Cricetulus griseus: one gene and its partner. The protein of the gene in region 2 purifies or fractionates together with the protein of the main gene of each other region. This does not show direct contact. Links are inferred from orthologs where the notes say so. Each region holds a gene or a part of one and is shown on either strand. Other genes may lie near its edges.

The links.
Region 1: the proteins of Polr2h (region 2) and Polr1e purify together in Homo sapiens (affinity purification with mass spectrometry; 3 studies listed by BioGRID and IntAct, with this or other methods). This does not show direct contact. The link is inferred for Cricetulus griseus from reciprocal best matches to the Homo sapiens genes POLR2H and POLR1E.

What each region holds. Positions count from the first base shown.
Region 1 is NC_048595.1:98,425,347-98,432,952, forward strand, and holds part of Polr1e (DNA-directed RNA polymerase I subunit RPA49), read right to left. Parts: intron 7,261-7,606; coding exon 7,157-7,260; intron 6,605-7,156; coding exon 6,528-6,604; intron 5,608-6,527; coding exon 5,522-5,607; intron 2,974-5,521; coding exon 2,915-2,973; intron 2,171-2,914; coding exon 2,026-2,170; intron 1,406-2,025; coding exon 1,298-1,405; intron 709-1,297; coding exon 612-708; intron 1-611. UniProt on the Homo sapiens protein: Component of RNA polymerase I (Pol I), a DNA-dependent RNA polymerase which synthesizes ribosomal RNA precursors using the four ribonucleoside triphosphates as substrates.
Region 2 is NC_048597.1:67,929,363-67,937,394, forward strand, and holds Polr2h (DNA-directed RNA polymerases I, II, and III subunit RPABC3), read right to left. Parts: upstream 5,595-8,032; 5' UTR 5,253-5,594; coding exon 5,180-5,252; intron 4,203-5,179; coding exon 4,119-4,202; intron 3,874-4,118; coding exon 3,780-3,873; intron 2,745-3,779; coding exon 2,661-2,744; intron 1,128-2,660; coding exon 1,010-1,127; 3' UTR 763-1,009; downstream 1-762. Other genes in the region: Clcn2 (chloride channel protein 2), read left to right, coding at 7,201-7,284. UniProt on the Homo sapiens protein: DNA-dependent RNA polymerase catalyzes the transcription of DNA into RNA using the four ribonucleoside triphosphates as substrates.

The sequences.
Region 1 (7,606 bases), on a different chromosome or scaffold from region 2:
AGGCTGGGCATTGGTGGCACATGCCTTTAATCCCAGCACTTGGGAGGCAGAGGCAGGTGGATCTCTATGAGTTCGAGGCCAGCCTGATCTCCAGAATGAGTACCAGGACAGCCTCCAAAGCTACACAGAGAAACCCTCGAAAAACCTAAAGAGAAGAAAAGGCTCAGAACTAAGAAATAATCTAACCATCATTTTTTTAAAAAGTTGTTTTAATTGGGTTAATCTCTGTTATTTAAACTAAATATACAATATCTAAAAATGTGTATTTAATTTTAGAAACCTTTTCCAGCATGCTGTCACATCTGTCACGCTGATTAGCACTCATGCCAATGCCAGTGATCATCAACAACATCAACACAACAGTGGGGTCTGGGGCTAGCTTTGGTGCCAGGCCCCGGATTACAGGACCCTGCCACCATCTTTCCAGCTACACATGAGCCAATCCTCTTCCTTGAATCTGCCCAGGCCTGAAAGCCTAGTGTCAAAGCTCACTCCTCCTCCCACCGCTGAGCAGACACCTCCCCACTGACTCCGAGTGCTATCAGCAAAGTCTTGCTTTGTGTCCGACTCCCGTTTCCTGACTCACAGATGCTCCCTCTGCCCATGGATACCTGTTCTCTTCAATCATCTTCAGTATGTCTTCTGATGTGACCTTTCTGAAAGCTTCTGATGGGCTCTCAAGGGCATCATACTCAGCCTGGGACAGAACTGGTTGCAGGTTAAGAACATGACTGACCAAAATGGAAACCCACTGAGGTAAGTCATCTCACGGGGCCTCATTTCCCAGGCATGAAAGGCTAAGGCCCATGGAGGAAGCAGGGTGGAGCGCAGAAACCAGATTCTTAGACTCCAGCCTAGGGGTCACTTCCTACTTGGACTGCCCCCCTCCACTTCATTACCAGAGCCTCTGTTAGCACTCTCCAATTAGCCAGACCCAATGAGCAGTAGAGTTCTATATTCCAACCCTCCTTTCAGTATGTCTGCTCTAGACTTTGATACCAGCCAACTCTAAGGTTATATTCTGACTATCTGTGGAGAATGACCCCCACAGGGCTAAGCTGTGCCCGTTGTCCTGTTACTGAATAATGGGTTTGAGTCCCAGGAGTGGGTCCCTCCACTGATGAAGAAGCCGAACTGACCAACCAACCTCTTGTTAACAGCACTGGGGTGTGGTAAAAGTTTGGATGTTGCATTTATTAATGTCACAGGACCATGACCACCCATACACAGCCTGGTTCTGCCAATGGATACAAACATCATAGCCTGCAAATTAGGCACCTTTCCAATGCAAGGATACTGTCTTCAAATCTGTACACGTCTTCAGGCTTGGTTGCATCAGCATGGCAGGGAGGAAGGTAGAGGGAGTCATCTTGCAAGTCATCCTGCATGGCATCGCTGACCAGAGCTTTCAATTCAAGGAAATTCATATGAGTGTCCCCCTGTCTGGCTGCAGGCTCCCCCACACGCCATGAACCCTATGCAATGGAGACCACATGGTCCAAAACTCAAATCTGAACACCTGCCAAGATCTGAACTGACCATCAGGCTGATGCTCCAGGAGTCCCAGCCATGCAGAAGGTGGATACAGTGTGTTTGCTCTCAACTAACTCAGAATAGGGTTAAAAAGACGCGTGCTGGGGGCTGGAGAGATGGCTCAGTGGTTAAAAGCACTACTTGTTCTTCCAAAGGTCCCGAGTTCAATTCCCAGCAACCACATGGTGGCTCACAACCATCTATAATGAGATCTGGTGCCCTCCTCTGGCCTGCAGGCAACATGTAGACAGAACACTGTACACATAATAAATAAATAAATTAAAAAAAAAATAGACTTGTGCTAATAATCACTACACAACATCAGAGAAGCTATGGCCACAGTTTCTCGTGGTTCCAGAGTCATTCCTGAGCAGGCCCTCAGCAAGTAGCAAGAAAGAATCCAGCCTTCAAGCCCACCACTTGCATATGGAGGTGAGTGACAGATCTCAAGTCTTTGTGGGCATACTCTTTACCCAAGCTCCAGCTGCTTACCGTTCACACCCTTTGTATCAATGATGTTCTCTGCAGCTTTAGTTACTGTGAGATTCAAAGATTCGCTGCCAACTTTGTTCATTCTCCTGGAGTTCAGGGACCGCTTCTGCTTGGTGCTTCCAAAGGCTTCAATGCAAGAATCCAACTGTGTAAGAAACAAATCCAATCAGGAAGGACAGGCTGGGCAGGCTGACTGTTCCACGTATGTAAGCACAAGCATGCTCTGGGCTCCCTGAGCCAGGATTACCTCATCTGTCAATCCTTCTCATACCTGTCCACCTCAGAGGTCTGTTCCACATCAGAACTGGGATTTGATAATACTGACTCCCAGTTACAAATCTATAGTTAGTTTTCCATCAGTACAAAAAGACAACTTGACTGGAATTAGGGTTGGTAAATCTGTGGCACACAGCCTGCCAATATGCTATTTGCTCCAGTAACAGGACACTGTTAATAAACCACTCAGTCTCCCTGAACCACAGAGGAGTCTTCTCTTTGCAGTGGTCCAACAGCACTGCAGGTTCAGTCTGCCACCCTGTGGTGAGATCACTTCGCTAAGAATCCTTGATCTACACCGAGAAGCTCAAAGAACTTACTTTGTTTGCATGAGTCTCAAGGTACAACCATTTTCTACAATGTGGACCAAAACCTAAGATGTTTTCTGCTATACCTCCATCAGCCCAGAGAACAGGGTGCAAATACTAACATTAGCTGTGTTCACCTGGCCAGGGCAGCAGCTCTCTGGGAGACCTGAAGGCCTCTGCAGGTAGCAACCAGGCAGAGCCACAGACCAATTGAACTGGAACAGCCAGAGAGGCCCACATTCAAGGGCGCTGTGACACTGATGGGTAGACCAGGCCCTGAAGGAGCTTCCCTAACTACTGCTCACCTTTTCCCTGAAAGTCTTGGCCTGGTTCTCTGGAGGAGGCTCCTGTTCAATAGCGTCTTCTATAGAAACACAGGAAGAAAGCACACTATGAGACTCAGAAAAACACAGAACAGGAAGAAAGCACACCATGAGGTTCACAAGTGAGTATTTTACTGTTTTGTTTTTTAATGGGGTCTCACTATGTTGCCTAAGAAGGTCTTACACTTGTGAGCTCAACTGATTCCCTGCTCTCAACCCCACAAGTAGGGGAGACTGCAGCCAACTGTGCTCAGCTCTGCAAGGCCTTAAAAATATTAATAGTGCTTGGTATTTATTTAATATTCATCTAAGGAAAACAGATTTCCTTATTCCGGATTTCCCTAACATGAATGTACACTGTGAATACTGACTGTATACCTCAGTGCACAAGTAAGAGAACTGGGTAATGGGTGTCCTCTGCTCCAACCTCTTACTTCATAAACAGGGAAAATGAGGCCTGCAGACACAGTGACTGGCCCAGGCATTTTCCAAGCCAGGCCAGAGGGAACAGAAACCAAGTCCTCAGTTCTTCCTGTCAGTAGATTTGCTTTTCTAGTCAAAGACCTAAAGGCAGGTGTGAACATAATTCGGATGTTTTCACTCCCCAACTTCCCTCAGAGTACTCAAGGAGTGAGCAGCATAACCTGGCGGGCAAAAACACAAGCTCTGCAATGGCCCTGCCTGAGTTAGCTCAGCAGCAGGTCACTGACTCAGCCAAGTTTCAACGCAAGGAGAGAAAAAAAAAAGCCAGGTGGCCAGGTGGTGGTGGCACACACCTTTAATCCCAGCACTAGGGAGGCAGAGGTAGGCAAATCTCCTTAAGTTCAAGGCCAGCCTGGACTACAGATGGAGTTCCAGGACAGCCAGAACTACACAGAGAGACTCTGTCTCAAAAAAACAAAGAAAAAAAGCAATTAGAGTACATATGAAGTAATCATGGGTGCTTATGAAAGGTGTTCAGAATAGTGATGGGCACACAGCAAGGACCCAAAACTAAAGTTGTGCATGTGCTAGCCAGAACAAGCCAGGGCTTTAAACTGCACGAAACACAAATGTGTCTCGTCAAGAGTTAAACAACCCCAGAGTGTGAAGAGATGACTCAGCAGTTAATAGCACTTGATGCCCTTGCAAGAGGACCCAAGTTCAGTTCCATATGACAGCATCCATATGACAGGTAACAACCATGTGTAACTCCGGTTCCAAGGGATCCAACTCCTCTTCTGGCTTCCATGAGCAATGCATGCTTGTGGTACACAGACACACATGCAGACAACAGAACCATACACATAAAATAAAATAAATCTTTTTTTAAAAAAAGAATCAAATGTGGTGGGCTGGGAGAAGGCCAGCAGGTAAAGGTGTTTGTCACCAAGTTTGATGACTGGAGTTCCCATTCCTGGATCCACATATTAGAAGGAGAAAATCAACTTGCTTGAATTGGCCGTTGACTGCCACACATGCATTGTGGTGTACACACACACACACACACACACACACACACACACACACTGATAAACCAATGTAATAAAATTTCACATCTCCATTGGAGATGGTTCAGTGTGTTAGAGAGCTTGCTATCCACACACGAGGACCTTGGTGTGAATCCCCAGAACCCATGTGAAACTGGGCATGGTGGCACACATCTAGGATCCAAGAGCTCCCACAGTAAGATGGGAAGCCGAGACAACAGAACCCCAGATGCTCAAGGGGTAGCCTGCCAGCCTACTCAGAGCCAACAGACAGTGTCTCACACAGGTCAGTCAGGACCTCCCTATGTGTGCTGTGGCATGTGAACACCTGTACTCCCACACAAGAAGAATTAAGTCTGTGGTGGGAAAGAATGTACTATGAGACACCTCCCTTAATATTCTGTACTGATGACTATTCTTCTTGCTTTAAAGGCTGGTTTCTGAGACAATATCTGTAAATGCTGAAGAGATGGGCTCTTATTTGTCATACAGTCCTTAGTTTAGTACTTGAAGAATGTAAGGAATCAATAAGTGATTCATTTAAAAAAAATATTGCTGGGTGGTAGTGTCGAACACCTTTAATCCCAGCACTCAGGAGGCAGAAGCAAATGGATCTCTGTGAGTTCAAGGCCAGCCTGGTCTACAGAGCGAGTGCCAGGACAGGCTCCAAAGCTACACAGAGAAATCCTGTCTCAACCCCCCCCCCCCCCCGCCCCGCCCCACAAAAGGTTATATATCCATATACCTTTTCAAATTAAAAAGAAAAAAGAAAAATGAGAACACTCGGCAAGAAGGCATCCTATTATGGTTGAGGATAAGCTGTGTTTGCCAAATAGACACCAAGTTCTGAGTTCACACCCCTTTACCATATAAACCTCTCACCATACACAGCACTCTCAAGTTGATGGCAGGAGGACCAGAAATCCAACGTCATCTTCAGCTACCCAGAAAATTCAAGGGTCTACATGAGACCTTCTCTCAAAAAGGTATATGTGGAGGAAGCCATTTAGAAAAAAATTACAAATGCCTTCTAGAAAACAAAAATGAACTAATCCAACAAACCCAAACGATGTATTTAACTGAATATTCATTTAACAGAGTATTCATTTCCGGAACCTACCAGCAAACAGTGGCTGCATGTTGAACAACTCAGCATCATATACTTCCATCTGCCCAGAGGTCTTATTCAGAATTCCCACAAAGTGTCTGAGGAAAAAAGTAATGATACAATAGTAGTTTAACCAAAAGGTTATTATTTACACAATCCTCTCTTTTTCCTATTCACATATCCCTAGCTTCTTTCTGCCAGAAAAAGGCATCCACTTGCTCACATGTAACAATAATCCCTGCACGGAGAGGAAACAGTAGGTGATGAAGAGGAAGGAGACATAAAATGGTTGTGGACTGAAAAAGCCACCAGATGGTTCTGATAACCAATCACATTTAAAGTCCCAGCACTTGGGAGGCAGAGGCAGGAGGATCTCTTGAGTTCGAGACCAGCCAGGTCTACAAGAGCTAGTTCCAGACAGCCTCCAAAGCCACAGAGAAACCCTGTCTCAGAAAACAAAACAAAACAAAACAAAACAAAACAAATTTAAAGCCACTGCTGTTAATGGAAACCCTTTTGAGGTAATAAGAATCTAAAATTAAACAGAATTTTGGCATGCATAAATTCTTCAGGCTGGATGATGCTGTGACACAGAAGACACCAGAGGTGAGCGAAGAGCAAAGTTGCCAAAGTCATTCACTCTGACAGTGCTGGAGGGCTGCTTTGTTCCAACCCAGAGGCCTTGAAGATACAAAATCCTCTTGTCCCAAGGCAAACTTGAGGCAAGCTTTGACCTGATGATCACACATTCTAAATCAGCAGACATAGCTGTCTTTTGGGATAGGACAGTCATACATAATGTCATAATGAGGTCTTTAGGAACTCGACAAACGCAAGCCATCTTTTCCTTTCTAAGGGTGTCTACACAACAGTATATGGAATTTGTGAGTCTAGAAACACAAAGTCTTAGCAAACCTGCAGATCTCAACTACCTCCAAAATGAAGACTGAAGATAGTGTTGTCTCTGTCACTACTACAACCCTCCTAGCACCTTTGTCACTGCCCAGTTGTCCATTACCTGCAAAGAGTGTTGCATTTGAGGGCGCCAGTCCCAAAATTGTTTCCAACATAGGACAGCCTGTCTGTTTCTGCTGCCTGAAAAACAAAGGAGTGTCCAATTTACAATCAGCACTGGGCATGGCCTCCTTTTGACGTGTATAGAAGTCTTAGAATCCAGGACCAAAATGACCAGCCCTAGATATTCTCCAGGTGACCTACCCCATCATATCTACAGGAATCTAGGGTGTCTCTGGGGGACCCCAAATACCATAAGGAAGCTTCAAAGTGATAAAGTTCTGGGGGGGGGCGCCACCTGGGATTGCATGAAATTAAAAAGCTTCAAACTGGGCGGTGGTGGCCCACACCCTTAATCCCAGCACTGTGGAGGCAGGGGCAGGCGGATCTCTGAATTGGAGGTCAGCCAGCTATGTCTACTCAGTGAGTTCCAGTATAGCTAGAGCTACACGGAGAAATCCTTTTTCCCAAATATGTGAAAAGTCATCGTTTCACCCAAAATCTTGCACCTTGGTGAAGCCACAGTCCCATTTGCTTTCCTCCTTTTCTCCCCTCAGGCCCTCCCATATCTGCCCACACCAAGGGCCTTCTGAGCCCTGCAGAGCCCAGACTACCTGTACCTGCAGCCCTTACCAGGATCCGCTGATTCTTCAGCCTGGGGTTTACCAAGTCGTTGCTGTTGTACAAGGTGAAGCGCATGTTGCCTGGATTCTGCAGCTTCCCATTGGAGAATTGGACTGTAAGTGTAACCCAAGAATGAGATGAGGGCAAGACCAGCAGAGTGGGGTGGCTTAGAACTACACTGTGGTTGGGAACCCAGGGCGAAGGCAAGAGAGCTCATGTCCCACTTTTAGGGAGACTGAAGGAAGTCCTGGTCCAGTACTAAAAAAAAGGAGATGGGGAGGGGGTGGCCTCTGTGCAGAAAATGACGGAGGGAATGTCATTAACTAGCAGAAGAAAGGGAACTCTGCTCCGTGGAGGGGAAAATGGGCGAATGAGAGACCTGGTGAAATCTCCAAGTCCTGGGCACTGCCCTGAGAAGTGTCCTCGCATGTGAAGTCACGACAGAGGAAAGGGAGGATA
Region 2 (8,032 bases):
AAGGGACTTCTCAAAGTTATCTTCCCCCTCACACACAAATAAATGTTGAAAGCTTTTCTACTTAAGTCCCCCTTTCCTATGCTGGAACAGCCTACTGTCTACTTGACATTCTATCACTTATTTCTAATGAGGGTCTCCCCCTCCAAAACCTGACTCCATGGGATGATTAAAAGATTCTATTAAGATTCATCCCAACCCCCAATATGTCACACACACCCTACTGTGGAAAGAAAAAAGAAAAAACCTTTGCTCTTCCCCGCTGAGGCCACTCATTTTCAACCCATTTCCCTAAACACTACACCATTTCTAACACCTCTTGTAAAGACTAAAAAAAAAAAAAAAAAAAAAAAAAAAGACGGGAAAGGAAACACCCCAGGCATCCCAGCAGGGCCACCAGCTCCTGTGAGAAACCCAGGGCATCAAGAGACCAACTGGGGGTCAGCAAAAAAAAAGGCTTAGTGAGTAAAGGAGTTTGTCCTGAGAACCTCAGTTCAACCCCCAGGACACAGATGGTGGAAACACACACACACACACACACACACACACACACACACACACACACACACACACACTGGGGGGGGAAGATACCTCCTTTGTTGCACACAAAAGAGCCTTGGTTTTGACTCCCAGCATTGCATAAGCCAGGTGTGAGCAATCCCAGAAACTCAGAAGACAGTGGCAGGAGGATCAAGTCCAAGTCCAGCCTAGGCTAGACAGCAAAAGTAAACCCTGGATGACCCCACCCCCAATTCAAGAGAAGAGTCTGAAAAAGTAAGCTTTAATTTAAAAAAAAAAAAAATCATACACAACTTGAGATTCATGCTGCGCTCTCCCGCTGCACCTTCTACAGACAAGTCACTTTTCCACTGAATTCAGACAAACTGAAGCTGTATCCAGAGTGGACACAGAGCCAGTTCCTTTCACAGGTCAGCAACGCCAGCTTCTACTCAGGTTCGAACAGTGTCCATGACTTGAATGACTAAGCAGCAGGGCTGGTTTCCCACGAGGTTCAGAAGGCCAGTTTCTTCATCAGCAGATACACCCTGGAATCCACCTCAAATCCATGCAAGTTGTTGGCATCACCCTGAAGCCTCATGAGCAGGCCCCCATAGGACACATAGGCAGAGCTGAAACAGAAGGTCCCTGGTCCTGAGTCTGAGCTCTCAAGCAGCTGCTTCCCAGCAGCTCTCCGTCCATTTTTTTAAAGGCACTCCCCTAGCATTCTGTCATTAGGAACCAAAGACTGGGACAAACCTGAATGCAGATATGCACAAAGCAGTGTTGTTTACTCTAGTGGAGGAGTAAACGCTGCTGCTATGCCCAAAATAGGAGAGTAGTCACACAAATGAAGGTGTCACCATTCATTACAATGTTGTTCACACAAATGAAGGTGTCACCATTCATTGCAATATTATACAGCTATTGGATACTGAGGTAGGGGCTGGAGAGAAGAATGCAGACCTGGATTCACCACCCCCAAGCACCCACATGGCACCTTACAACCACCTGTAACCCCATTTTCAAGGTGTTCAATGTCCCCCTTCTGACCTTGGTGGTCTCATACCTGCACATGGTACACATATAAGCACCCACGTGCATGCATACACACAAATAAAAAAATACTTTTTTGAAAATGCTAAGGAATCAGGAGGGTGGCACATGTCTTTAATCCCAGCATCAGGAGGCAGTCAAGTAGCTCCCGAGTTCAACACCAGCCTGGGTCTACATAGTGAGTTCCAAGACAGCCCAGGCTACATAGAGAGACCCTATCTCAAAATAAAATAAAATAAAATAAAATTGAGGGGAATTTTCACCTGACAAGGGAAGTATGTTAGACAAAAAAAAAAAGAAAACATTATAAAGGATCTTAAAGGGAAAAGTAAACAAAAGAAAAGAAAAAAGACAGCTAGACCACTCCAACGCTTGTTTTTGTTTTCTCAAAACAGGGTCTCACTATCTCTGGCTGTCCTAGAACTTACTCTGTAAACCAGCTGACCTTGAACTCACAGAGATCTACCTGCCTCTACTTCCCAGGTGCTGGGATTAAAGGTGTGCACCACACCAGCTATTTAAATTGTAAAAAACGTCCTCCTAGGTGACTTTTGTTCTTTTTCACATTAATTTTCTGCTTCAAGATTCTAACAACCATATTGTTTTAAAATCAATTTTGTTTTGGTTTTTCAAGACAGGGTTTCTCTGTGGCTTTGGAGCCTGTCCTGGAACTAGTCTCTGCCTCCCGAGTGCTGGGATTAAAGGCGTGTGCCACCACTGCCCGGCATTTAAAACCAATTTTAAAGAAAAAGAAAAATTAGGCAGGGAAACTAAAGAACCAAGGTCTGGGTTACAGAGTAGCAACACATACACAAGTAAAAAATAAAAAGGCCTAGTCATGAAATGCTGCTTGTGATCCCCCAAGATGTTCTCTGTTGTCCCTCATGAAGCAAGATTACCAAAGTCTCCTGTGGGCCACAGGGCCTTGAAATCCTGATAGCAGGTGATGTAAGTAATCAAAATTCAGACTAGAAACTGTTCCCAAAACAAATTCTTCCACCCCGGCTTCGGGTACTAGAAAAAACAAAGAACCTGATACAGAAGGAGAAGCATGACCCAATTTCACAACAGGGAGGTTGGATTATTAACAGCCAGACAATGTTACTTACAGACGTGTCGCCGCTTCGGTTGAGGTCTCATCCCCCTCAATCCTATATACTTTCCCATACATGACATACTCAAACTGGTCCGCCCTACAAACAATAGGCAAAGTTACTTTTCACAGCAATCAATAGTGTAAGAGACATTTAAAAATGGAAACTGAGCCAGGCATGGTGGCACAATCCCAGCACTCAGGAATCAGAGGCAGAGGCAGAGACAGAGGCCTGTGAGTTTTCGGCCAGCCTGACAGTCTACAGAGTAAGTTCCAGGATAGTCACGGCCACACAAAGAAACCTTGTCTCGAAAAACCAAAAAGATAGAAATAATTAAAATAGAAACTGATAACAACAAATGCCATGGAAGCGCAACCTTATTTGGCTTTCACATCAATTCAGTGAACTAGAAATGACTGTCTGTACTTTATTGATAAGGAAATGGAAGATGGAAGTAGTGGAGCTGAGAAGTAAAAGTTCAGTATATAGTCATGGCTGTCCTAACTGGCTATGTAGACCAGGCTAGCCTCAAACTCACAGAGGTCTCCTGCCTCTGCCTCCTAAATGCTGGGATTAAGTGTGTGTACCACCAGACCCAATACTCCACAGTCTTTCTGTCACACCAAAATCTAGGTTACTATGTAATCATTTTCTAGGCCTTAAAAAAGCTACATTTGCAGGGTGTGGTGGTACATACCTTTAATTCCAACACTGAGGAGGCAGAGGAGGTGGATGTCATCTGTGAGTTTGAGACCAGCTTGGTCTACATAGTCCAGGCCAACCAGGACTACAAAGTGAGACCCTGTCTCAAATAAATAAACAACTGCAGTTCACAAGCTTCCACTCACTGCTCTCACTAAGTAATCAAGCCAGTTGTTTGAAATTTTTTTCAAATTTTTTAGAGACAGGGTCTCCAGCCCAGGTTGGTCTCAGATTTGATGTGCAGCCAATGGTGTTCTTGAACTCCTCATCCTCCTGCCTCATCTCCCGAGTTCTGGAATTACAGACACAAACCATCACACCCAGTTCTGGTTGTGTGAATTCTAAGTGCAGTAATGTCTTTTTCTAGCAGTAAAATAAAGACCATTCTATGTACTACTTATCTATTTAGTCCCTCCTTTACCACCGCCTCACCTGGAAGGCCTGTCATCTGTGGGGTTGTATTCACCATCATCCAAGGTACCATCTTCATACAAAGTACTAGCTATGACCAATCGGAACTTGTCACCTGAAAAGAGCATCAAGCGGAAACCAAAGATAAAAATCACTTGCTAAAGCCAGTCGTTGGCAGCACATGCTTTTAATCCCAGTACTCAGGAGGCAGAGGCAAGCGGATCTCTGTGAGTTCGAGACCAGCCTGTTCTACAAGAGCTAGTTCCAGGACAGCCTCCAAAGCCATAGAGAAAACCTGTCTCGAAAAACAAACAAACAAACAAAAAAATTCACTTGCTAGCTCCTGTGTTGGACACTTACCCAAGTCCACTGGGTAAATCTGAATGTTCACGTCTAAGATGAGGTCCATCTTGAAAGATTCACTCTCACAGTGCAGCCGAGATACTGGGAAAGAGCGACAGACATAATTACAGGCAACAGAGTCGGGGTCGAATGCAGGAGAACAAATCTTTCAACTAGTCCACAGCCATTAGCCTTGCTCTGGGACACAGACACAGAGTGCAATCCAAATCAGATTCAGAGAAGAAAGGGAGTAAACACCTCAGCAAGTGTCAGGATCCCAAGAAAGAAGCAGAACTTCTCTGGCAGCAACCCGTCTCTAGGCTCTAAGCACACCTGGATGATTTAGACTAAACTCAACTCTGAACAAGATAGTCATTAGTCCAGAGATCCCCACTTCCTAGTAGGCACTCTGCGGAGGGAATAGGCAGGGTGTATTGAGAACTGACACCTGTCTTTAAAAATGGGGGGGGCACGCCTTTAATCCCAGCACTTGGGAGGCAGAGGCAGGTGGATCTCTGAGTTCAAGGCCAGTCTGGTCTACAAAGCAAGTTCCAAGACAGCCAGAGCTACAAAGAGAATCTGTATTGGGGGGGGGGGGGTCTGTCTCCAGGTAAAGTGACACTGAGAAGAAACAACTTCCGGATTACTGGGAAATGAATACACCAAGCAGTCAGCTGCATGAAATTTATAGAGGACTCGGCAAAGGGCTAACAATTCTTGGGGCAATACAAAACTATGGGTTAGGAAGACAGGGAGGTAACTCGCTGCACGGCCTTAAGTAACAAAATAGATCGGGCACCATCACTTCTTACTACAATACTTAAGTGTGCGAGAGAGGCGCACGGTACATACAGCACGTAATACTGAATAAGGAGTCAGAAAGGTGTCCAGGGCTTTCCCAACCCCAAAGCCAAGGGCCACCGAGGCACCAGACACCGCAAACATCATAGGAAAAGCTGTCCCAAGTTTCTCATTATGAAAAACACTGTTTCCTGAGGGAGGTACCGAGAGGGTGGGACGGGCCACTTGGGGTGGGTGGGCATGTTTGGCCTCTTCCTCACCTCCCCTACACACCTTACCTCGGTCAAATTTCTTGCCTTCTGGGTCAATGTCTTTCACATCAAAAATATCCTCGAACAGGATGCCCGCCATCGTAAGGGGCACGAGAACTGCAGAGGTGCGGAGCGCGCGGCCACCACTGGGAATTCGCGCACCCCCTCACGTGGAGAAAAGAAGACAGGGCAGAGTACCGCCCCAAAAAGCGGCAACCAGCCGCAGGGCGCATGCGCACAGGCTTCAGCAACGCAGCCACTTCCGCTGCCTCCCCTCGGGGCTCCTTCACTTCCGCCGGGAAAGGCCACCTCGGAGTGGCTCGGACCTTGTGGGCGAGTCTCAAAGCGCGGTGACTCCGCCCAAGGCGGGGACAGACTAAGTCCCACCCCCGGCGGGTACCGCGATGCGCCCGGCTCTAGGGCGCCCTCTTCAGACCCCGGATCCCGATGCTTGGAAGGCTCCGGGACCGGACCCAGCCAGGAACCTTGATCCTTGGCCCAGAGGGAGCCCGGCCCTAGCCCTTCCCTGCGGTCCGCGTGCCCGCCGAGGGCACAGTCCGTGCTGCAGGAGGGTGAAGCCGAACTCCACCCGCAGAGCGCCCGCCCAGCGGGACGCAGTGCCCAGCCCCTCGGACGGCCACCAAGGTTCCCCACGCTGGTCCGAGCTGGCTCTGACCAGCTAGACGTCACCCGAGCCGGGTCCGTCCGGTTTGGGAATTTGCCGTGATGTCACTGTCAGGGAAAGGAAAGCCCGCATTGTGCCCTCGCCTGGGGCTTCACCTCCTCGCCACGCCGGTCTTCCCTTGGCCCTGCTTGGCACTAACTCTGATCCCCTAGAACACTGCCAATTGAACTTGGTACTGCCTGTCACCCCACTACACTACCCTCTTCTGGACACTGATCCAGTGCGCTTCCACCCGACACTGGCCTTTCCCTGGGAAACGACAGCTCGCAGCGCGCTCTTTCCAGGTGCTATCTCCTTTCATCGCAGCCCCCGTACTGGGCACCGTACGCTCCCCTTGAGCACCACCCTCTGTTTGCTGAATGAGTCTTCATCCTGATGCTGTTCTTTCTACACGGATTTCTGGGCACCGTCCTCTCCAGTGGCACCAACCTAACGCTGTCCATCCTCTTTGTGCCAACGCCACACTGTTCTTATCCTTCCAAGGATCCCGAAAGACAACGTAGAGCTTCACTGGGCCGCTTCCTCGAGGCGTCAGCAGCTACTCAAGTTCCCCCTTTAAGCGATGCCTGGGAGGAGCGACCTCTGCTCCCCCACGCCCGCCTCCCAGGAGCAGCCTCCCCCGCACCAATAGCTCCCTTCCCTCGGGCCTCACCCCTTCCCGTCCCCTCCCACCTCCACCTCCGCCCCGATCTCCAGGCCTAGCAGTTCCAGGTGCACCTTCCCGGGGGAACCCGGAGGAAAAGAAGAAAGGAGGAAGGGAGGCGATAAGGGAGCGGGCTCTCAGGAATCCTCCCAGACCCGTCTGAGCCGCCAGCAAACGCGAAGCAGAGGCTGCCCCAGTCGAGTCTGGCCTGGAGAGCCCGAGATAGCTCGTCAGCAGCCCCCTGCCCCAGCCCTGGAGTCACTACATCCTCAGCCCCTCCCGCACAACGCTGCAGCCGCCCGAGAGCCCGTCCCCTCCACGTGCCAGCGGACCCGCCCCCGTCCGGCCCCGCACCCTCTCGGGGCCGGGTCAGCCCCCGGCCTCCCCAGAGAAGGGGTGCAAGATCGCGTTGCAAGCGCCCCCTGCCGCTTCTCCGGAGGCCAGGAGGCGGCTCCAATGCAGACCCCAGCCCGACCGGACGCCCCTGCAGATGGGCCAGGGCGGAGCAGCAAGCAGGGCACCGCCCTCGGCCCGCCCGCCAAGGAGGGGACGCTAGCGAGAGGCTGAGCCTGCGGCGCGCGCCCGGGGACCGTCGCACTCTGCACTCGGCCGCCGGGGCTGAGGGGACGGGACGGGTGCGGGCGCGGGCTCAGCGGGCCGGGAGCTGAGTCAAGGCCAGAGCCCGAGAAGCCAAGGGAGGCAAGAGGACAGTGCACCGAGATGGCGGCCGCCACGGCCGCGGCGGCGGCGGCGGCGGCGGGGGAAGGGATGGAGCCTCGGGCGCTGCAGTATGAGCAGACCCTGGTAAGTGAAACCTAAGGGGTGCGCTATGGCACCACTGCTGCAGGTTGCCCTAGGAAGTGTGAGCACAGGCGGCCTACCCAAGCCCGGCCTCAGCCTTCCTCAGCTGTGGAAACTGAGGTTCGGGATCCGACAGGCTATAGGTTCAGGGTGTTTGAAAGCTGCTTGCTGGTTTCTGGCTGAGACTGGTGGCCTGGAGAGGACAATGACACCAGGTGTTTGGCCCAGGTGTCCTTCCCCTTACTCCCTTCGGCTGACACGATTTTGTTTTTTCCACTTACCAAGTTACAGCACCCCAGTACCCTTTCTCGATACCTGTGAACTTTCTCCAAATGCCTATCCACATTCTACACCTTCCCTGTGTCCCTACTATGCCACAGCATTAAGCTGGACATAAAGACTGCAGGGAAGTAATCAAATCCAAACCTACCCCCTGCCTTTAAAGACTCAAAGTCCAGCATTGACAAGAACCCCTCAGTCGAACTTTTGGGAAAGGTGGCTGGCTTAGGTGGCTTGTCACCCTGGGGACCGAAGCTTGAGGGTTGATGCAGGAAGCAGGAATGGGTGTGAGAATTGGAACCTTTGTTCTAGCTGGATCTAGGCAGGTACCCCACCACCACTACCACCCACGCCCATGGAGTGTCCCTTGACCTCATCAGAAGCAGGGGTCCTGAGCTTTGAGATGACTCATAGCAAGTCAAGAGTTAAGAAGCCATTCACCCTCATGTCACTAGGGTGGGGGGCCCAAGCC